Linked DNA regions of Mus musculus. The protein of the gene in region 2 purifies or fractionates together with the protein of the main gene of each other region. This does not show direct contact. Links are inferred from orthologs where the notes say so. Each region holds a gene or a part of one and is shown on either strand. Other genes may lie near its edges.

Region 1 (4,249 bases), on a different chromosome or scaffold from region 2:
GAAGAGGTTAGAAAGATGGCTCAGCAATTAAGAACACTTACTGCTCTTGTAGTGGACCCTGGTTCAGTTCTCAGCACCCACATATGGCTCACAACTGCCTGAAACTCCAAGGGATCAGTTCCTTCTGACCTCATACAGGCACACATACATGCACATATACAAATAATGAACCTTATAAAGTCAGCACAGGCATTCAACTATCCCAGAATGAACTTGACAAAAATCTGTTTGTTTTGTTTTGTTTCACTATGTAGTCCTGGAACTCACTCTGTTAACCAAGCTGGTCTCTACCTCTTGAGTGCTAGGATTAAAGGCATACACCACCACCTCCCAGCCTTTTGTTTTTAAGACAGGGTCTCTCTACATAGTGCTGACTGTCCTGGAACCCACTATGTAGACCACACTGGCCTGGAACTAATCCAACTACCCCAGCCTCCCAGGAGCTGGGATTAAAGGCGTGTGCTACCACATCCAGCTTGAGGACATTCTTTAAAAGTAAAAAAACATTCAAAGAACGGAGAAGATTGGTAAATACAGTGAGTTGTTCAGATAGCAAGGAACTTACTAGTTACTTTTTTTAAAGAATCATTTACATGTGTAAGTGTGCATGCACGCTGAGTGAAGATCACAGAGAAGCCAGAAGGCAGCACTGGTGCACGGGATCTACTGGAGCCGCAGTTACAGATGGTTGTGAGCCGCGGACTATTAGTGCTGAGAGCCAAGCTTAGTTCATCTCAAGAGGATACTCACTCTTAATCATGAAGCTATCTCTCCAGCTCCACAGTAACTTTTTCCTAAAAGAAAGTCTATCATTTACACAGATTTTTTAAAAAAGTGTGTATAAACACAAACCTCTTGAGTAAGATAAAGTACTAAAGTAGTGGAGTAGTGGCCCACACCTCTAATCCCAGCCCTTGGGTCTCTGAGTTCCAGGACAATCTATTCCACATAGGGAGTTCCAAGACAGCCTGAGCTACGATGTAGTATCAAAAAAGAAAAAAGAAAAGAAAATGTACTCTGGACAACCTGACTGCCCTTAATCCAAACACCAACTATATAGAACTCTCCCACAAGTCCAGAGAAAAGTGTCCATGACTACACCTGACTGCAATCCTGAAGGCACAGCTCCAGCCCAGCTGCCGGCACTTTTTACTCTCTCACAAGCTTTGAGGAACTCTGGAGGACCGTCAACCATTTCCACCAGGCAATTCCACCTAGTGACCTAGCAGGGACTGCTGTAACAGGTGCTAAAAGGTTGAGGGCTAAGTGGCTCAAAGACCACTTTCTCTGGTTCTCCAAGCAGGCTACTCAGGCTCACTAAGTCAGTCAGCTGTAGGTCATCCCTCCTAATGTGATATAGGCCTCATAAAAGGCTTGAGAGATGTCTTTTTCTTTTTCAATAGCGTGAACAGAGCGAGCACACAAAATCACCTGCAGAGATGCCAGAGGGGTGACTACAGCAGAAGCAGCAGAGACGAGCAATCCTGCGACCAAGCTGTGAAAGCCACAGGCAGTTTGGTAGCCTGACAGCTAAAGTAGCCCCTTCACTGGTTGTCTGTGCACGGAAGCAAGCATCGAAATGCAGAAGTACGTTCTCTCCCAATATTGCTGTATTACCTTAGTAAATACCATTCCTAAAGGCTATAATTTGATGTCTGCTACATAAATCAGCTGCACTCCTTGGCCAACAAAGGACCCAGGATCGGTTCTCCCAACAAGATGGATCACAATCTTAACTCCCTCTTCTGACCCGCAAAGACACCAGGTAGTGCACCTTCATACACGCAGACAGAACACTCACACGAATAAGTCTTTGAAATTGTGGGGTTAGGGGAGTGGCCTCGTTCCTGGTGGCGCACATATTTAATCACACCACTCTCGGCAGAGGCAGGCAGATCACTTGGGGATACAGGACTGAGACCCTGTCTCCCAAAAAAAAAAAAAAAAAAAAAAAAAAAAAAAAAAACATCGTAGCACATTCAACGCACACTTGTGATAACCATCTTCAGAGACCACTTGAACATGAACAAGAATTAAAACCTGGTGTCCAGCTATTTTGGCGTTGTGAAGGAGTTCAGACTTGGAACCCCAGCGTGGTGAAACTGAGACTGGAGGACTACAGCCGGGTCTAGAGTCTAAGATAATCTCAGAAAACGTGTGTGTGTGTGACTGGCGTGTATTAGCCCTTCAGGGCATCCCATGTGTCCTGGGCAGAGGAACACAGGCGAGGCCCACAGGAATGACACACACAGCGCCAGAGGAAAAAGAACCCCAAAGTCCGCACAAGCGCGACAGCCGCGGCCCACGCCGCAGGCCCAGCATGCGCGTGCGCTTAGCGAGCGCCCCAGGCCGAGAGCCGCACCGCGCAGGCGCGGTAGGAAGACGCCGCGAGCGCGGGAGGCCGTGACCCCACAATCCGCCGGCGGGGAGGGCTCTCGCCGCTTCCGGCGTGGCGGCGTCGGCGGCTGCGGCTCGCACGCGCCTCGGTCCGGGCTAATCCCTTCTGCGCCGCCTCCCTCCCCTCCCGGCCGGGCAGCGGCGAGTGCCGCGCGCACCTTGACGCTCTGATCGCTGGAGCAGGTGGCCATCCGGCGCCCGTGGAAGTCGAAAGACACATCGTGGATGAGGTCCTTGTGGTCCGCCGCGATGCTGCGCGCCACAAACATGGCCGCCGCCGTCTGCCGGGCCCGCCTCCGAGAGGGCGGCGGTGCGGCCCGCAGCCCCCGGACCACCGCGGAGGCACGTACGGCACGTCGGCCCTCGCCTGCCCGCCCGCGTCGGCCCCGGCGCGCCACGCCCCGAGGGACACGCCCTGCGCGGGCGGAGCCTGCGTCCGGACCTCGCTGCAGCAGCAGACGAAGCTGGGAGACGGAGGATGGAAAAGTGAAAGCACCTTCCGGGGTCAGCCTGGGGGTGTGCGCCTCCGAAAACACGTGATCCGTGCACAGAGCTAGTAGACACTTCCCGCAGCCAATTTGAGTGGGTGGTTCAACCGCGTAACCAGAGCTTCTTAGGAATGATGGGGACGCCCAAAGTTGTGGCTTAGGGAGTCCCGCTCAGCGAGTGCAAAGTCCGCCCGAAGGATGAAATTGAAGAGGAGTGGAGAACCTGAAGCAGCAGTCAGTGATGAAAGATGGCACAAGTACAGCAGGCTCAAGGGTGTCAGCAAAACAGAATGTGGAAAAAGACTTTCTAGAAAGTCACCTGGGGTGATGGCAAGACCCAGAAGGATATCCAATATTTACTTGAATGGAGCCAGTCTTTAATGGAGAAGTAAGTAAAACAAACAAAAATAGCCTGCAAAGAGAAACGTGTGAAGGAAAGTGCTCAAATCAGGAGAGTCAGTCAAACTCGGGAAGTGGTGGAACATTCATTCTACAAGGGTTTTAGGTGAGAGAGAGGTTGTCTGTCTAACTCCCACGAGATCAAACTCTTGACTTTGGTTCCATGAGCGCCAGGATACACTTGGTGCACAGACATATATATAGGTGAAACATGCATACAGAGAAAAATAAGGATGTTTAAAGAATGGGAATCGTTTTAAAAGGCAGACTTTAAAGGGTCTCAAAATAACTGGACCCACTTGTTCCCTGATGGAATTGTACAGAGACCTGCAGAGACCGATAGTGAAATGATCTTACCAGTCTTGAGTTTTCCTTACTCATCTTTAAATTAATAAACTCTGGGGCATGGCTTGAATGACTCACCACCTTTATTTTAGTTCCAGCTCCAGAGAATCTGAAACATCTGGATTCCTTGAGGATCTTCACTCTTCCTGCACACAACAGATAAACATACACACAGAGACATAAATAAAAGTAATCCTTTCTGAGATTTTATTCCTATTTTAGAGGTAGAGCCCAGGTCCATCAGCTGTGTGTAAAACTAATAACTATTCATTAATTCCCAGAAACAAAACACACTATAATAAAAAAGTACAATTAAGTCTATACTTTTAAAAGTAAACATTTATGAAAGCTGTTTATCATTTTTTAGAGATGTATTTATTTTTATATGTAAGAGTGGATTGCCTTCGTGTTTGTAGTATAGCATGTATATGCAGTACCTGTAGAGACTAGAAGAGATTGTTGAATCTCCTAGAACTGGAGTTATACAGGGTGTGAGCTGCCTGGTGGGTACTGGGAGCCCAACCCAGGTCCTCTGCAAAAGCAGCCAGTAACCTTAACTGCTGAGCCATTGTTCTAACTCCTCAAAGCCAAGTTTAAAGACAGTAAACATTTACTGAAAG
Region 2 (3,500 bases):
AGATTACCACTAAGTGGAAAGATGATCTGAACCTTTTCAACGCTGTACCTCAGCATCAGCCTAACCCTGTACCTCAGCATCCACAGAGCCTGCCTAACCCTGTACCTCAGCATCCACAGAGCCTGCCTAACCCTGTACCTCAGCATCCACAGAGCCTAACCCTGTACCTCAGCATCCAGAGCTTGCCTAACCCTGTACCTCAGCATCCACAGAGCCTAACCCTGTACCTCAGCATCCAGAGCCTGCCTAACCCTGTACCTCAGCATCGACAGAGCCTAACCCTGTACCTCAGCATCCAGAGCCTGCCTAACCCTGTACCTCAGCATCCACAGAGCCTAACCCTGTACCTCAGCATCCAGAGCCTGCCTAACCCTGTACCTCAGCATCCACAGAGCCTGCCTAACCCTGTACCTCAGCATCCACAGAGCCTGCCTAACCCTGTACCTCAGCATCCACAGAGCCTAACCCTGCACCTCAGCATCCAGAGCCTGCCTAACCCTGTACCTCAGCATCCAGAGCCTGCCTAACCCTGTACCTCAGCATCCAGAGCCTGCCTAACCCTGTACCTCAGCATCCAGAGCCTGCCTAACCCTGTACCTCAGCATCCACAGAGCCTAACCCTGTACCTCAGCATCCAGAGCCTGCCTAACCCTGTACCTCAGCATCCAGAGCCTGCCTAACCCTGTACCTCAGCATCCAGAGCCTAACCCTGTACCTCAGCATCCAGAGCCTGCCTAACCCTGTACCTCAGCATCCACAGAGCCTAACCCTGTACCTCAGCATCCACAGAGCCTAACCCTGTACCTCAGCATCCAGAGACTGCCTAACCCTGTACCTCAGCATCCAGAGCCTGCCTAACCTTGTACCTCAGCATCCAGAGCCTGCCTAACCCTGTACCTCAGCATCCACAGAGCCTAACCCTGCACCTCAGCATCCAGAGCCTGCCTAACCCTGTACCTCAGCATCCACAGTGCTTACTTGGACTTGAAGGCCATGGAGAAAGATGCAGTGTGTATGTGTTGGTATGTTTGTTTACTGTCTGGGGAAATAAGGTTGGGGTGTTTGGAAGGAGTTACGCAGGCCTTACTGGCATACATTAAAATTGTTTTATCATTATAAGTACATATATATACTAGTTACTGAAGAAGAAAAAAACAAAAAATGTTTTTCATTTTGTTTTTAGACAGGATCTCACTATATAGCCCAGCCATCTAGAAATCGCGGCAAGGATCCTGTCTCAGCCCTCTAGGTGCTAGGGCGACAATAACGACCATCAGGCCCTTTCCAATCAATATTAATTTTGAGGTCCCTTATTTCCATAGCTGTGAGGAAACGATGAGAAAGGAGATTTCCGACTTTTCTGCCTTTCAGCTACACTGAGCAACTGTGTAACATTAGCTGCACATGCTACATGGGACCGGGCTATGCTAACATCAACTTCATACACGTGACATACATGTAACAGGCTTTGTTAACACTTACCTTTTTATCAGTGGCTTGAAGTTCTTCAAAAACTTTTTCTAAGGTCCAACTTCAAAAGAGGAAAAAACAAAAAGGGACAGAGATGACCACCTGAGGAGTGCTGTGCAACCAAACTCCCTGCCGTGCGTGCGTGCAGTGACCCAGTGCAGTGCCACCATGCCTGCCTGCCTGCCGTGCGTCCCACTCACTTGGCTTCCATGTACTCTCGAGGGAGCTCCTCACTGTCATCCTGCGTCATTACTGATGTCCGAATCTCCTGCTCCACCAGGCTATCCACCATCACCCGGAAGTAGGCCCACACCGTGTCTTCCCACGTGTCACAGACTGGAAGGAGCTTTTCATCCATTCCAAAAGAGAAACATGATACAGTCAGCAAGAAAGAAAGGGAAACCAATTACCCACTGACTACAAACTTCAAAAGCCATCTTCTGATGACAGGGGACACTGAGGGGTTGAGAAATATATACCAAGTAACCTTTCTCCCAAACTAGAACTTTTGAGAAGTTTGTATGATTAAGACTTTTTCCATACCAAGTTCATAGTCACATTGTATTCTAATATCGAAGGGTATTTCAAACATCAGAGCGTGCCTCAGGACAGCCGATGGCTCTGGGGACACACACGTCTGTGGGCTTAAGGCCAAATGCACCGTCTCCGCACTGCATCTCTGCAGACTCTGGTACAGGAGTCATCAGGAAACAGGTGCTGGCATTCTCCATGTAAGCACCAAGTGCACCCCTACAATCCCACCACTGAGGAGGCCGGGGTGGGGGTGGGGTCATGAGTTCAAGGGCAGCCTGATTTACAAAGCAAGTCCCTACTCTCAAAAACCCAAATAAAAACATAAAAAAAAGAGGCAAGTGAGAGCCAGAATGAGTGATATATCAAGAAACTATAACAAAGTAACAACAGAAGCAAGCTAATAATCAAAAAACCATACAGAGAAACAAAAACCTGACAAGCACACATAAGTGGGCAGTGTCCCTCCCAGTAAGCAGGCCGTCACTCTTGTCACTGCCCTGCTGTCTGGCGGGCTCTGGCTTGGAGGCTTTTAGGAAGCAGCTCAAGTCTGCTGCACACAACTATGGACATTTAAGGATTCGGTCTCACTCCCCAGAAAGAGTTCAGCATCCCCACACTGCATACCTGCTTAAGGTTCCCACTCAGTGCCGCGTAAATCGCTCTTTCATATTTATTAAAAAGTTCCTAAAACACAACGAGCGAAAGCATTTGTGATTATTACTTCTCCGAGCGTGTGAGTCTCTTCACAATTCTTCTGGGTAGATCCTAGTCCCTTAGCTCTTAAGTGACAGGTCTAGGGCAGCAGAGAGGGCTTTTTAGTTTCACCAAATAATCTCCCCCCGACCCCCAAAAATCAACATTAAATCTCAAATACAGAGAGCACACACACAAGGCCACTGCAGTTAGGCTCTGGCCACTCAGAGTAGAGTTTTAACCTCCACAGAACCGGGTGCTCCTCCTCCAGAGGCTCAGCAGCGATGCCTTCCCATGCTGGCCTGGGGACAACGCTGAGCTTAGGAGTCACTGCTGCTTTAGGGACCCATTCCTAAGCACAGTGACAACCACAACCTTATCCCATTTCATTTTAAGGGCTCTGTCAACCGTGTGTCAGCATTTCTTGTCATCAAAGAAGCAACTCTGGAGACTCCGCTTCCACTCCTCATCCCAGGCAGCCTGTATCCCTTGGTGGCTGGGTAATCTAACAGGCCCCTCGTTACGTCTGTGACTCAGTTACATCAGTTTGCATGGCCATGCTACACTTCTTAAACACTTCCTCTCAATTTTCTGACACCCAATTCAACAAGCAAATTCCAGGGTTTAAAAAAAAAAAGTGGGCTGGTGAGATGGCTCAGTGGGTAAGAGCACCTGACTGTTCTTCTGAAGGTCCAGAGTTCAAATCCCAGCAACCACATGGTGGCTCACAACCATCCGTAACGAGATCTGACTCCCTCTTCTGGGGTGTCTGAGGACAGCTACAGTGTACTTACATATAATCA
Region 3 (3,500 bases), on a different chromosome or scaffold from region 2:
ATATGCTATGAAATCCATTTTGGAAAACCATAGTATAAAATTGCTCTTTCAAATCGAATATCATCCTTTCACCGGAGCTCCCTGCACTTCCTGATGCTTTCTCTTACTCTCTTCCCATTGAATTGTAGTAATTCGATCATTGCACTTGATTTCACGTGTACTTTTCAATCTACTATATTAGGAATCAGAGTTTCATTTTCTTCGTTGTTCAATCTCTTTCCTTAACAAGTAGATGTTCAATAAAAGGTTTGCAAGATCTTAAACTGCTTTGATGTGTTAGAATTGAGTAAATGTACAGGTAGTTGTTGGTGTTAAATACCTTTTATCTCATCAGAAAGAGAGGTAGGCAGGTAGGTATCTAGTTCAAGGCCAACCAAAGTTCTATAGAAAGACCATGTCCCCAACAATGTGTCTTAGTCAGGGTTTCTACTCCTGCGGGGTTTATTCAGCTTACACTTCCACATTGCTGTTCATCACCAAAAGAAGTCAGGACTGGAACTCAAGCAGGTCAGGAAGCAGGAGCTGATGCAGAGGCCATGGAGGGATGTTACTTACTGGCTTGCTTACCCTGGCTTGCTCAGCTTGCTTTCTTAAAGAACCCAGAGCTACCAGCCCAGGGATTGTACCACCCACAATGGGCTGAGCCCTCCACCCTTCGTTGAGAAAATGCCTTACAACTAGATCTCATGGAGGCATTTCCTCAAGGGAGGCTCCTTTATTTGTGATAACTTCAGCCTGTATCAAGTTGACACACAAAACCAGCCAGTACACAATGTATAATGTAAACACTCCAAAAATAAATATATATCCTCCATTCAATAAAAGATTAACAGATAGATTACCAAACTAAACTTTTTTTTTTTAGGACAGAGAAACTTTGGTTGGTTGGTTGGTTGGTTGGTTGGTTGGTTTTGTGCGGTTAAGGATCAAACCTTACGCATGTACAAACACTGTACCATTCAGCTCTGAACCCATTTCCTGTTTTCATGGTGTCATTGTGATACCAGTTAAAAACAAAATTTCTCACCATGTTCAGCTTCTTAATGTTAATTACATCTGGTTATAATTTTATTAGACCAATAAATAGTACAACACTTTCAAACATGTACTTACCCACCAAATATTACATACTACTGTATTAGACACATAGGCAGTACAATATATAACTTTTGTGCACATTTTTGTGTATTAAATGGTAAGACATAGAAAAAACAGTTAATAAGATGTATGTCAAAGAATAAGGTAAAATAACTCAGTTTTGGTAGATTAGAAGGCATACTTACTAAATATTGTCATTGTTTTCAGCTATGCAGTCAGAAGGGCCTGTGGAACATGTTCCAGTATTTGGAAACGCAAGTGGATCTGTTCGTTCTACTAGTCCTAATGTTCAGCCCTCCATTTCTCAGCCCATCCTAACTGTACAGCAGCAAACACAAGCTACAGCTTTTGTACAACCCACTCAACAGAGCCACCCGCAGATTGAGCCTACAAATCAAGAATTGTCCCCAAACATAGTTGAGGTAGTACAAAGTTCCCCAGTGGAGCGTCCATCTACTTCCACAGCAGTATTTGGCACTGGTAAGATTTCATTTTAATATTTTCTATTGTTTTATTTTATGTCTATGGATGCTCTGTCTCTGTATATTTGGGTGTCATGTACGAGCCTAGTGTCCACAGAGATCAAAGAAGGGCATCATATCCCCGGAAACTGTAGTGACAGGTATTGGGGACTGACCCTGGGTCCTCTTGAAGAGCATCAGTGCTCTTAACTGGTTGCTTAAGATGGCTAAGCCATCTTCTAGACTAATAAGATTAATTTTTAAAATGAAGCTGCAGTAGACATATATGCTTCACATTTCTTAGGTGCAATACATCTTGACTATTGCCTAAAACAATTTGCTTTCTATCCAGTGTTACTATGAAGAAAGAAAATATTTTTATTTAGTTTTAATCATACTTAACAGTAGATACAAGAACAGTTCAAATGTGCGCTTGATGTAGCTTAAAAATTACATTTATTGTAATTTAAATTATTAGAAAATAATATTCATATTTACTATTAGTTCAATTTCAGTTTTTATCATTAAGTAAAAGCCCTCCTACCCCCAGATATTTTGGGCTGTTTTTAAAGGGGAAAAATAGCCAACATATTATATGTAACTTAATGTGAATCCTGAAAATTAAAGCTGTTCATATTATTTAGCATATACAGTATGATTTTTCTTTATTTTTATAGAAAGTCCTATGTAAACTTTGTAAATAGCAATTTATCAGATGTGTCATACAAAGTTCTAGTTTTAAGACTGGTTGTAATATTATCTTTGTCTAAATGAAGTTACCATGATCTGACTTTTGAGGTTGAAATTGTATGATCTGAAAGTTTCAGCTACCCCAAGTTCCTCCTTGCCAAAGCGCACTCGGGAGGAGGAAGAGGACAGCACCATGGAAGCAGGAGACCAAGTCTCTGAGGACACAGTGGAAATGCCTCTCCCGAAGAAGCTGAAGATGGTCACACCCGTTGGAACCGAGGTCTGTCACACTCCTGTGTATTACCATTGCATCAGCAGCTAAGAGCTAGCTGTCAGTCATACTCAATGTCAAATTAAGTTTTGGGAGATTATCCTAAAAATTCCTGAACTGTAGTTTTCACTTATAGCTAAGGTATTTTGCCATTATCACTTGGTTTATAGTCTTTGCATATCTTTTCATGAATTCCTTCCCATTTAATAAAAGCAGAAGCAAATTAAATTCTGCTTTTGTAAGGAAGTCTAGTCATTGGCATTCTGCACATTGACATTACTTGCCATGTGATTTTAAGATTAAGGCTAGCCAAAATTACGTTCCTTTTCAACCATAGACTGTGATGAGTTAGGTTGTATAACAGTAATAATACTAAATGTTATACGTGTGTATTCATTAATGTTCGTTGAAGAAGTATTTGAGTATGTTTATATAAACATTTGTGGCACAGCTTCATAGAATTGTCGACTTAACGTTTTAGAGAAACACTGATGACGATTCGTGTAGTTCACTGACTCAGTAAGAAATAACCTATTATGATTTAGGAAGAAGTTATGGCAGAAGAAAGTACTGATGGAGAGGCAGAAACTCAAGCCTATAATCAGGACTCTCAAGATTCCATTGGAGAAGTGAGTAAACATATACAACTATTAAAAATCAATTGTTTTGACCTATTGAAACACTACTTGCTTTTTTTTTTTTTTTTTTTTTTTTTGGTTTTTTGAGACAGGGTTTCTCTGTGTAGCTCTGGCTGTCCTGGAACTCATTTTGTAGACCAGGCTGGCCTCGGAACTCAGAAATCCGCCTGCCTCTGCCTCCTGAGTGCTGGGATTAAAGGCGTGCGCCACCACGCCCGGCTCACTACTTGCATTTTTAAATTTGTTTTGTTTTGCTTTTTGAGGCAAGTTTTTACCATGTAGCCTAGGCTAGCCTTAAATTCAGACAGCCCTGCTTTTTTTAAGTGTTGGAATTACAGGCAT
Region 4 (3,946 bases), on a different chromosome or scaffold from region 2:
GTAGAGCCCTGGCTGTCCTGGAACTCACTCTGTAGACCAGGCTGGCCTTCAATTCAGAAATCTGCCTGCTTCTGCCTCCCAAGTGCTGGGATTAAAGGCATGCGCCACCACTGCCCAGCAAAGGATTTAGCTAATGGGAGTGGAGGTTCTACTCTGGGCCACTTGGCTTCTAAGTGTGGTGGGGAAATGTGACCACGTGCATCTGAGGAGCTGCCCTGGGGCTCTGTGTTCCCCTTTCAGTGCTGTGTAAGCACCAAAGCTAAAAACAAGAGTTTGGGGAGGTTCCAGTTGTTCTCCCTTGAAACAGTCAGACTCCCAGGGACTTGAGACTCTCTGCTTGCCATCCCTTAAGAAAGCTGGTGCATTTTTGTATACTATCATATCAACTAACAATGAAGCTTTGACTTCTTCCGTTTCAATTTGTATCCCCTTGATCTCATTTAATTGTCTTTTTGTTCTAGGTAGAACTTCAAGTACTATGTTGAATAGATAGTGAGAGAGTGGTCAGCCTTGTCTTGTCCCTGAATTTAGTGGAATTGCTTTATCCATCAACGTAATTTACCATATAAACAAACTGAAAAAAGCCCACATGATCATCTCATTAGATGATGAAAAAGCCCTTAACAATATCCAATACCCCTTCATGTTAAAAGTCTTAAAGGGATTATGGATACAAGGACCATACCTAAACATAATAAGGCAATATACAGCAAGCCAATAGTCAACATCAAATTAAATGGAAAGAAACTTAAGCAAGACCTAACAAAGCACTAGCCCAGTCTACTTGAGAAATTAACCTCTACGATGGTCATGATAAGCCAGTGGGACCCGGAACCCGCAGAAAAGGAGAGTGAAGCTATAATGACTAGTCATTTTATGTATGCATCTCAGGAACCAGAAAAAACTTAGTCTAAATAAAAAACCTGCTAGCGACGGCTTCAAATCATAAAATCCCTGGATTAGGGTCGCCACAGCAACCAGAGCCCAACAGTAGCCAAGATAAAGGCAGAACTGCAGGAGGGCGGGGCCGAGGATCCAGAAGACGCGGAACCTTTGTGTGAGTCGAGTGTGTTGCTGACCGGAAGATCCTGGGTGACAGCCTGCCGGCTGCGGGCCGGCACCGGAAGTGAAGCGTTTTGAGCTGCCACGTCCGAGGCCGTGGGTCGCCGCTGCTGCAGCTATGGTAAGTGTCGCGATCCCTGCGATAGTCGTGGCTTTGAGACAGACCACCTCTACGTCCTCAAAGTTTGCTTGTCCTGCCTCTCTCTGGGTCTCGGAGCGGGAATTTAAGGCAAGGCCACTGGGCCTTCCGGAACTCATAGGCCCGGGCTGCGAGCCCACCTCCTGCCCGTCTCGTGTCTTGTCCTCCAGAATTGGAAAAACAGCCAAAGCTATCATAGGATCTACTGCCTGACAAGCCCTTAGTGCGTTCCCACGATCGCTCACATCCTCTGCCTGCGCGTAGCCTGCGGAGCAGATGCTACTATCATCAACACTTGGGCTAGGCAGTGGCAAGCTAAGATCCAAATTCTCCTCATCATTCGCCCTGCCACCCACTACCTCAGCAAAGGAGGTGGAGGGATCAGTTGCTTGGACACAGGACTCCCATGTGTGATGGTCCCTTCGGGAAACTGATGACAGGCCTAGCTGAGTGACTCCAGGGCATCGTCTCAGCTTTTTATTTCTGTTTCTTATTTTTGAATTTACATGGCCTCTGTGGTATGTCTTTCACCGCACCCCACTCCGTATAATACTAAGGGAATGAAACTCTGGAAGTCTTAGACCCTGGTTGGCGCAGCGGTGCAAGGAGCTGCCTCCTTCTGTTGGCCTTTGGCTCTTTTGTTGCCAAGTTGGAGACTCATACACAGGTTCATTCTAAGTTTGTACCTGGTGTGATTCTGATGAGCTGAACTGTTTTGAGTGCAGCTTCTTACTGTGTTCCAGCAAGCGCATAAGTGTCCTTATAAGATGCTCCGGAGGACTGCTCCAAGAGCTTTAAAATACATAGCATCCCAAAGTGTGGATCATAACCCATGGCTGCTGGTTAAGAATGGTCATAAGGATGCCAGCTTTCCAAAGTCCTGTGGGTCACCAATAGAAAATTACTTTTCCTTGAGCCAGTTGGGATTGTGGGGAATTCTTGGTCACATCACCCACCTTATATTGGTGTGTGTTGGGGGAGGGGGTTAGAGGATTAGTAGATAAGATTGTTGCCAGCAGTGTGGTTTTGGTAAGGGTGTTTTCTTCACTGCCACCTTAAATTGATTAGTTTTTCTGTTGACTATAATTGATTGCTCCTGGTGCCTCTCCAATGCTCACGGGAAAATGTCATTGTCTCCAGGCAGGTGCTGCTCCTCTTTCTCTAATCTTTGCCGACACTTTTCAGAGCATTTAAGATTCTCAAGGAAACACACTTACTTATTCAGTGTGTGCCTTCTGAATGCCTTGCCGCCGTACTCTCCCAGGGTCTACCTTTCTGAAAAAATAGCCCAGGCTGTTGGAGAATTCTTGATCCACCCTCTTGATCCTCCAGAGTGTTAAGGATCTGCAACACCACACCTGCCTTGAGGAGTCAGGCTTTGTAATTGCAAAGTTTGCACTGGGAAAGGTGACTTGTTGGAAATGGTGAGAAATGTCAGTCTCAAATGGAAGCTACCTTTTCAATCCACTTTTCTCTCCCAAGAATTTAATAGTGGATGAGAGAAGAAAAAAAAAAAGATGTGTGTCTTTGCTCTTTTATTAACTCAGTAGGTAGTTACTAAGTTCTTTCTATCTGTAAAAAACATTGTGCTAAATAACTTAAAGAGATTCAAAGCTGAGGTGTGTGATGGTGCCTACCTTTAGTCCGAGCACTCAAGGCAGAAGCAGATAAATCCCAGGGCTGGAGGCAGCCTGGTCTATGCAGTGAGTTCTAGGCAGCTAGACCTATTTACTAAGACAGACAGCGAATGCATCAAAGCTACAGATAGTTTCAAGGAGCTTACCTTCTCTAGCAGAGAAGTAGCATCAAGCTCTATAGCTGTCATGGCTGTTGTGTATGTAAGAGTTTAGCTAGTTGGGGATCAAGGGAGGCTGATTTAAATCAAATGGAGAAATCGCTGGTGTCCATCACAACTGTTTTTGGCCTCTACAGACTATCAGACCTGGGTCCCACAAGGTGAAAAACTAGATGGGCCTTTCACGGTTCATAGTAGGCCAGAGAGTAACCTCAGAGGTAACTAAAGCCAAATCCTTGTCTTGACTTATATAACTTGTTTCACATAAACTGTCTGGGCCATCAGAATCGCTTGCGATGCAGAAAGGGAGCGTGAACTCTGTCCCAGCTTGGTCCCACTGACTGTCTTTGCCCATGCTAACCTTTCGTGCTTGGATCATATCTTCTCTCTGAGCAACAAGGTTTTCATCCCTTAAGGCAGCTGTGTATCCCCTTCATCCTGGGCTCTTTCTGCCCACACAAACCGCAGTATGGCTGATGTGGCTACTGGTAGGTTGTTCACACGCGAGCTCCTCTGAGGCAAGAGCTGCGGCTCCACACTGTGCAGTCCTTTACACGGGGCTTAATGCCAAGAAGATCCTCAGCCGGAAGTAAAAATGCACATATGTAATCCTGGCATTTGGGAGGCTGAAGCAGGAGGATACTGAGTTCAACGCAAGACTGAACTACATGATGAGAGCCAGTCACACGAAAAATAAAAAGAAAGCGTTTATAGAATGAGCGTGCTAGTGAATGAATGAGTGAATGCCCGTAAGAACTTTAGAAGCAATTGGTGCTTTAATGAGATGACTGGTGGCTGCTGTCGATGAATTCACAGAATGTCTTTGGTTCTAGGTGTCAGTAATGAACACTGTGGACACCTCTCATGAGGACATGATTGTAAGTATCCACGCAGCCCTTCTCCTGGGCCTGGACATGGGCAGCCTCAGTAGGCGTTTACTGTATATTAGT
Region 5 (3,500 bases), about 30 Mb from region 2:
AGTGTGCTGACATTAAGGGTGTCTGCTCTGACTGAAGAGATAAAATTGCCTGCTGAGCCATTAGATCATAAAACCGGATTGTTCCATTCTTCTCTGCAACCATTAGCTGTAATACAGGGTGGAACAAGAAAATTCTACATGTATCTCATCAGCTAAATTTGAGAAAGAAGCAGATTCAATGTCATAAAAGAAAAATAAACATATATCACACACGTATGTATATATACACACATATATATCACAAGCAGAAGCCAAATGCATAAGTATCAGAGATACCTATAGGCTTGTTCTACAAGCACCTAGTAAATATTGAACTCTTAAATCAAGAAAAGAGTGGCTATTATTAGTATTAGTAATCCCTTGTAACTCAGTATTTCCTTGTTATAAGACTCCAATAATTGAAATGATTCCAATAATTTTAGATGTTTAATAAATTGTTATGAAATATATGAAATACGTAACCAAATGCATAAATTTATACAATAAATCCCAATCTTAAAAAAATTACAATATGAAAACTGTTTCTTAGATTTATGAAAACATGTCACAGAATATCATCTATAACGAACAAGATTTTTCCAAGTATGCTGGACAGGGTATTAATAGCTATTATCCATGAATATGCTTTATCTACTGTGTAAAGTCCCTTCTTTCTGAGAATGTTTGTTTCATTCAGGTGCAGACATCTGGAAGTGTGAGGTAGCAGTGACAGAGTGGAAAGAGTGGGGACTGGTCAGAAACCTAAGTTCTAATATTTAATGTGTTCAATGGCTTGGAGTTTGTTTTTAATTATTTACAAGAGGGAAAACAAATTTCAAACAGAATGTACAAAGAAACACACACACACACACACACACACACACACACACACACTCACACATGCACATGTATTCATCAGGACTAGTTTCAAGAAATAGGCATTCACCATGTTAAAGCTGTCTCCATTTAAGAATGAGGGGGAAGGAGAACATTCTCTAATGCATTGTGGTAATTTGGGAGCATAATAACTAACTGAAATTGCGGAGTTAGATCATAATTATGAAGTACAAGTCAAGTTAAAAGAGGGATGACCCCTGTTGACCTAAGCCTCCTGTATATATACACCAATATAAAAGTTAAAATCTAGGATCTGAACTTAAAGAAAACACAAGAATAAGTCTTACTTATTTACTTTGTATAGGTTTCAATTTGCACCAACTGACCTGCAAATGTTGTGACAATTTTTTTCTATGGCTAAATACTAAAATCCAATTGTGTGTGTACATATACATTTCCTTTATCCATTGATAAACATTTAGACTATTTGTTAGCTATTCTGAATAGTGTAGCAGTAATCACTAGACACATCTATGAACACACATATGTACAAACACACAAACACACACACACACACACACACACACACACACACACACACACACACACACCATGAAACTCAAAAGGGGACCTATGAGAAGTGAAGAAGAAAGGGTATTCTAATATCAGAGGGTCAGAGAATACTGTGACGTGAAGGAATGATGGAGGTCTTGGAGGACAAGAAGGGGACCAATAAGAAGGTAGGAAGACAGTGGAAGGGCAGTGGGGTATAGTAATCAATAAGAACAAAATATGCACGACAATAATGAAAGAAAGCTAGAACAACAAAAAAAAAAAAAAGGAAAATATATCCAAACATTTAGAAATAATAGGTAGGAAACAGCCTTAAATTTAAAAAGAAGTTGCCATAATATAATTGTATATTGAGAAAAAGCTTTAACAATGTATATTTGGTAGACAGGATCAATAAACTCTATCTTTTGTGCAAAACTGAGGGCAGAACAGTGAAATGAAAAAACATGAGGATGTCAGAGGTCTATGGAACTCAGGTGTCCAAGGGAGGTGTATGGCTGCAGGAGAAGCTGCAGGGTTCATTCTGAGGTGCACACGGCATTCGCATTCTATGAGAGAACGTGTTGAATGGCTCCTGTTTTCACCATGAATTACGGCTAACTGGTATTTAAAACTCATTAGTACTTTAGAAAGCTTTGAGTGCCTCTAATCTAGGACACATGCGCCTTATGCCACTGACACTTCTTGTTTATATATGGCTCATATGCATGGATTTAACTTCGATTTCTTTTTTCTTTTTTGAAAACTGCATACTGCTAACTAGACTGAATACCAATTTTTAGGCTGTAATCTGCCAAGGGCCAGGAAAAGCACACTCTGTATATATGAATGATAGTTGCAAAAAAGCTAACAGTTTTCGAGAAACTATGAACGTATTTATTTCTATAAAACTCAAATGCAATTGTACTAATCTGTGCCTGAGGTAGAAAGCCATTGGTCCTTTCCTTTATGGGTATGAGGATTATACCTGTGTGCCTTTTAAACTTGGTAAAGGAAATTTAAGTTATAGATAACAACCTTGAAAGTTTCCTCGGGATGCCAGCATACACTCATTCCAGGAGAATGCAGAAGAAAATGAGCTGTCTGCTTTCCTTCCAAGTTCCAAATCCTAATAAAACAGTATGGATGTTAAATACATCACTACAAAATAAAATAAATGAAACTTTGACAAATGTATTTAAAGTCATTACCTATGTATTATTACATGTATTTGTATTTGATAAACATCTTTGAGAAAAAATAGTCATTGGAAAATATAAAAGGAGCATACAGAATTTAAGTTTTACGCTGGGCGTGGTGGCACACACATTAATCAGGTTGCAAGCCTATTTAAGTCATTTCTAATAACAATTATTCCTACCCAAGGTGTTCTCTGTCTCTGTCTCTGTCTCTGTCTCTCCCTCTCTCCCCACACCAGCCTTTCTATTTTCAGAGTAACCCATGAAGAAGCCAATGTGAAGTGACAGGCTTTTAGTAGGAGAGTCATTTCCCACAATGCTCATTCCTTCTACTTATACAACGTACTTTGGGGATGTCCTATCTTATACAAGTTCTCATCTGTCTGACTTCTCTAATGTTTTCTCCCAAGAGGGCCATGCTTAGCAGTTGCCAGATTAAAGATGGACTAGAGAAGCACTGTCCTGTCTGTACGGGTTCTGTACTGTCTATCAATAAGCATCAACTTACTCACAAATACGGCTCTTCATCTCAATGGCTTTTAATCTCAGAAGTCACAGGCATGGCACTTGGATGTGAGAGTACTGTCCTTGGGAACTATGATTTTTGGCTAGCTCACAATTGGTTCTTAGTCAGCCACTGTTACGCTGTGCTGAGTGGAGCTAGCATGTCAGGAAACATAAGTTCCATGACCGATGGGTAACAAAGTGCCTCCGGCATTTCGGTCCCCAAGTGAACACATTCAATGCTGAGGAGCACAGCTCAGTGGAGTGTGTGTTTAGCATACACGAGGCTCTGGGGTCCATGCTGAGCAATCTCCTAACAATAATCAAATGCATTCATGAGGATTTCTCCTTTCTCTTGTAGGTTTTATAGTTCTTGACTTCTTTAGGACTATAAAGAAGTTTTAAAAATTAAAGTAGGCTAAGTTTTTT
Region 6 (3,500 bases), about 110 Mb from region 2:
TGGAAAGTTTAATGGAAAGAGAGGTACCATAAACAACCAAATGTAAGGAAAGAAGAACCCAAAATGTACACAGAGATACAAGTTCCTCACTTGGGAGGTAGAGGACCTTTGAGTACAATGTCAGCCTGGGCTACCTAGTGAGTTCCAGGACAGCCAGGACTCCATAAAGAGAACCTGTCTCAACAAACAAACAAAATATAAGTTCCTAGTTCATGCGAATGAACTTCCAGGGCCCAAGAGATGGCTTAGCTGTTAAGAACACATGCTATTCTTACAAAGGACCTGGGTTCAGTTCCCAGTACCCAAGACAGACAGATGGCTTACAACCACCTGTAACTCCAGCTTCAGGGGATCTGATGTGGCCTCAGCTGCCAACTACACTTATATACACATTGACGAATATAAACATGCAAAAAACATAATTAAAAATTAAATGAGTCTTTCCTTTTGCATTCGCCCTTGGTTGTTTTATTTTGTATGTATGGGTGTTTTGCCTGCATGTATGTCTATTTCATGTGTGTGCCTGGTGCCTGGAGACTGGAGGAAGGCATTGGATCCCCTAAAACTGGAATTACAGATGGTTGTGACCTATCATGTTGATAGTGTGAATTGAAACAGGGTCCTTTAGAGGAGCAGCCAGTGCTCTTCTTAACTGTTGAACCAACTCTCCAGCCCCTCCTCCCCCTCTCTTGTTTTGTTTTTTGGAAACGGTCTCATGTAGCCCTGGCTGGCCTTAAACTCTATATATAGCTTAGAATGGCCTTACATTGATGATCCTGCCTGCAGCTCTCAACTGCTGAGACTACACTCTCTCTAGGCCTATCTTGCCCTTTTTCTTTATCCATCTGGTCTGCTTACTCTTCTACACAATAATTTTGTGTATTCTGCCCAATTATTTCCTGTCTTATTCCAATTATTTCCTGTCTTATTATGGTCAGTGTTCTTAACTCCTGAGAATGTTCAAGCTAGAGATGGTGTCTGTGGTCACTGTACAGATGTGGTACACCCACATACATGCAGGCAAAACATTCCTAGGCAGAGGCAGGTAAATCTCTTTGAGTTTGAGGCCAAACCTGGTCTACATAGCAAGATTCTGACTCAACATTTAAAATATCCTAAAGCAGCACACAAGAACCTTTACCTTGGTGAAAGAGAGAAGACTTTTCAGGTGCATCTGTGGAGGCATCCCAATGCCAGAGAGATCCATCTTCAGAACAAGTGAACAGGTGATCTGGGTTGGACGGGTGGAAGTGAACCTCCCACACTAAAAGACAGAAGGAAATCAATTTTAGTAATCCACAGAGGTTATTTTATGGCCTACCCACAAGTAGTGGCCCTTACCTATCTTCATGTTATAGTCACCAAAAGGTTACTTATAGTCTGCATCTCTTTACATTTTCTTGTTTTGTTGTTTTTTGTTTTTCCAGATAGGGCTCTCTTTTGAAGCCTTTGATTTTCAATAGACTTAAAGTTTATAGGTACCCCAGCTCATCTGCACAGGAATAAGATTCTCAGCTTTTATCTTTTAGTGTGATCCCAGCAGCTGTGACACAGGTTGGCCTTGAACTCTTAGTCCTCCTGCCTCTGTGACCTAGCTGCTGGGATCACACCTTTCTGGATGAACATCTCATAAACCAGGTCATGTTGCAGTACTGTTTTGATGTTTGCTTTCTTGTATTTCTATTTGAGTAAAAGCCAGAAGAGGGTGTCAGATCCCCTAGGAAAGAGTCTTTCTAAAAAGGAATATCAAACAAAAAGATCAGTTGGACCTTGTGATATAGCTCAGGGACAGAGTACACCCTTAAGGTCCTGGCTCATTCCCCAGTAATAGGGAATGGGAATATATTTTATCAAAGAGTGGTGGCTCATGCCTGTAATCTCAGCACATAGGAAGCTAAGGCAGGAGGACTGTGGTATAGTCAAGTCTAGTTTGGTATACAGTAAAATCCAGGCTTACCTGGACTACAAAGTGAGATCCTATCTCAAAACTGCACAAAATTAATGAATTCATAAATTAGGAAATATTAAGTGATAATTTTATACAGAACAGTCAGTAACCTGACAACATGAAGTATGACGGTTTGGTCCATAGGTTCTAGTTTTGAGAAAAAAGAAAACACAAAACAAAAAACCTAAGGCCATCAGCTCAGTAAGAGGAGCATGTAGTAATACTGACTGCAGTTGTAGATATGATGAACGAACATTAAAGGGCGTAAACAGAGGAAGAGATTATCTGGCTTATACGGGCCAGATACTAAAAGCGCTGATGTGAAATGGTCCCTATGAATCACTTCATGCTCATGAGAAACTCATTCAATGCAAGCTTTGTGTCCCCACAATACTTACTTTCAGCCTCATGAGCCTTCAGTAATGACACAGGCATGGTACCTTGTCTGACATCCCAAATACTCAACATTCCATCCTGGCCACCGGTAGCTACAACATGCTGCTGGTCTGGATGTCTGTCAACACAGTGGAGTGGCACTCGGTCACCAGTCCTTAAGGAAGACAGAACAATATCAAAAGATATGGTAAAAAACAATTTATCTTTGCCTAATAAGAAACATTTCATTCCACTAACTAAATGGTAAATAGTTATGTGGCTGGAGACACTAAATCTTAGTGAAAACAAAAAATTTCAACTAAATGGTAAATATATATATATATATATATATGAGTAATAAAAGTTTAGAATTAAAGGCTAGGAGGCAAAATAACATAATGGTAAGATGTGTAAGAAAGATTTCTATTAAAAAGTATGTGTCCAGCAAGAGAGCTGGCTCAGTAGTTCTGGGCAGATACTGTTCCAGAGGACCCAAGTTCATGCCCCCACATCAGTGGCTCCCAGTCGTATGTCAGCCCAGTTCCAGGAGTATCCTACAAACCTGGCCTGTGGGTACCTGCAATCACATGCACATAGCTAAGCCACGCCAATACATAGTCTAACTACAATTTAAAAGTAAAACTAAATATCAATTACAGCAGCCATTCTTTATGCCTATATTAATTAGTTCATATAAATTTTTTCTAGTCTGATAGTACATTCTAGTTTCTTAAGAAAGGAGCAAAGATTACACATCTAAAAAGCTCTGGAAAAATGACCCTGCCGGGCGGTGGTGGCACACACCTTTAATCCCAGCACTTGGGAGGCAGAGGCAGGCGGATTTCTGAGTTTGAGGCCAGCCTGGTCTACAAAGTGAGTTCCAGGACAGCCAGGGCTACACAGAGAAACCCTGTCTCGATAAACCAAAAAAAAAAAAAAAAAAAAAAAAAAAAGAAAAAAAGAATAATGACCCTGAATTTTATTTTATCTGCAATCACATCTACAGTGTATTTATAACCCTCTATCATATAATCATTTGATAAAAAGAAACAAGTTCTCTTTTAAACAATATATACTTCAAAGACATAAAGGCTCTGAATCAATACAAGTACATGCTAATGTAAGATGGTAGAATCAACTCCATTGTGTTACCTTGGCTTCATCAGTTTAATCATGG

The links.
Region 1: the proteins of Nup107 (region 2) and Seh1l purify together in Homo sapiens (affinity purification with mass spectrometry; 5 studies listed by BioGRID and IntAct, with this or other methods). This does not show direct contact. The link is inferred for Mus musculus from reciprocal best matches to the Homo sapiens genes NUP107 and SEH1L.
Region 3: the proteins of Nup107 (region 2) and Tpr fractionate together in Homo sapiens (co-fractionation; 4 studies listed by BioGRID and IntAct, with this or other methods). This does not show direct contact. The link is inferred for Mus musculus from reciprocal best matches to the Homo sapiens genes NUP107 and TPR.
Region 4: the proteins of Nup107 (region 2) and Sec13 purify together in Homo sapiens (affinity purification with mass spectrometry; 8 studies listed by BioGRID and IntAct, counting the BioPlex papers as one, with this or other methods). This does not show direct contact. The link is inferred for Mus musculus from reciprocal best matches to the Homo sapiens genes NUP107 and SEC13.
Region 5: the proteins of Nup107 (region 2) and Nup37 purify together in Homo sapiens (affinity purification with mass spectrometry; 7 studies listed by BioGRID and IntAct, with this or other methods). This does not show direct contact. The link is inferred for Mus musculus from reciprocal best matches to the Homo sapiens genes NUP107 and NUP37.
Region 6: the proteins of Nup107 (region 2) and Nup43 purify together in Homo sapiens (affinity purification with mass spectrometry; 8 studies listed by BioGRID and IntAct, counting the BioPlex papers as one, with this or other methods). This does not show direct contact. The link is inferred for Mus musculus from reciprocal best matches to the Homo sapiens genes NUP107 and NUP43.

The regions. Positions count from the first base shown.
Region 1 is NC_000084.6:67,773,427-67,777,675, reverse strand, and holds the start of Seh1l (nucleoporin SEH1), read right to left. Parts: upstream 2,801-4,249; 5' UTR 2,667-2,800; coding exon 2,556-2,666; exon of another isoform or gene 1,985-2,555; intron 1,644-1,984; exon of another isoform or gene 1,404-1,643; intron 1-1,403. UniProt on the Homo sapiens protein: Component of the Nup107-160 subcomplex of the nuclear pore complex (NPC). The Nup107-160 subcomplex is required for the assembly of a functional NPC.
Region 2 is NC_000076.6:117,768,706-117,772,205, forward strand, and holds part of Nup107 (nuclear pore complex protein Nup107), read right to left. Parts: intron 2,689-3,500; coding exon 2,629-2,688; intron 1,817-2,628; coding exon 1,671-1,816; intron 1,532-1,670; coding exon 1,483-1,531; intron 1-1,482. UniProt on the Homo sapiens protein: Plays a role in the nuclear pore complex (NPC) assembly and/or maintenance. Required for the assembly of peripheral proteins into the NPC. May anchor NUP62 to the NPC. Involved in nephrogenesis.
Region 3 is NC_000067.6:150,434,338-150,437,837, forward strand, and holds part of Tpr (nucleoprotein TPR), read left to right. Parts: intron 1-1,305; coding exon 1,306-1,578; intron 1,579-2,380; coding exon 2,381-2,529; intron 2,530-3,065; coding exon 3,066-3,149; intron 3,150-3,500.
Region 4 is NC_000072.6:113,737,882-113,741,827, reverse strand, and holds the start of Sec13 (protein SEC13 homolog), read left to right. Parts: upstream 1-1,146; 5' UTR 1,147-1,180; coding exon 1,181-1,183; intron 1,184-3,829; coding exon 3,830-3,874; intron 3,875-3,946. UniProt on the Homo sapiens protein: Functions as a component of the nuclear pore complex (NPC) and the COPII coat. At the endoplasmic reticulum, SEC13 is involved in the biogenesis of COPII-coated vesicles.
Region 5 is NC_000076.6:88,170,992-88,174,491, reverse strand, and holds part of Nup37 (nucleoporin Nup37), read right to left. Parts: intron 2,498-3,500; coding exon 2,407-2,497; intron 107-2,406; coding exon 1-106. UniProt on the Homo sapiens protein: Component of the Nup107-160 subcomplex of the nuclear pore complex (NPC). The Nup107-160 subcomplex is required for the assembly of a functional NPC.
Region 6 is NC_000076.6:7,674,004-7,677,503, reverse strand, and holds part of Nup43 (nucleoporin Nup43), read right to left. Parts: intron 2,499-3,500; coding exon 2,347-2,498; intron 1,265-2,346; coding exon 1,142-1,264; intron 1-1,141. UniProt on the Homo sapiens protein: Component of the Nup107-160 subcomplex of the nuclear pore complex (NPC). The Nup107-160 subcomplex is required for the assembly of a functional NPC.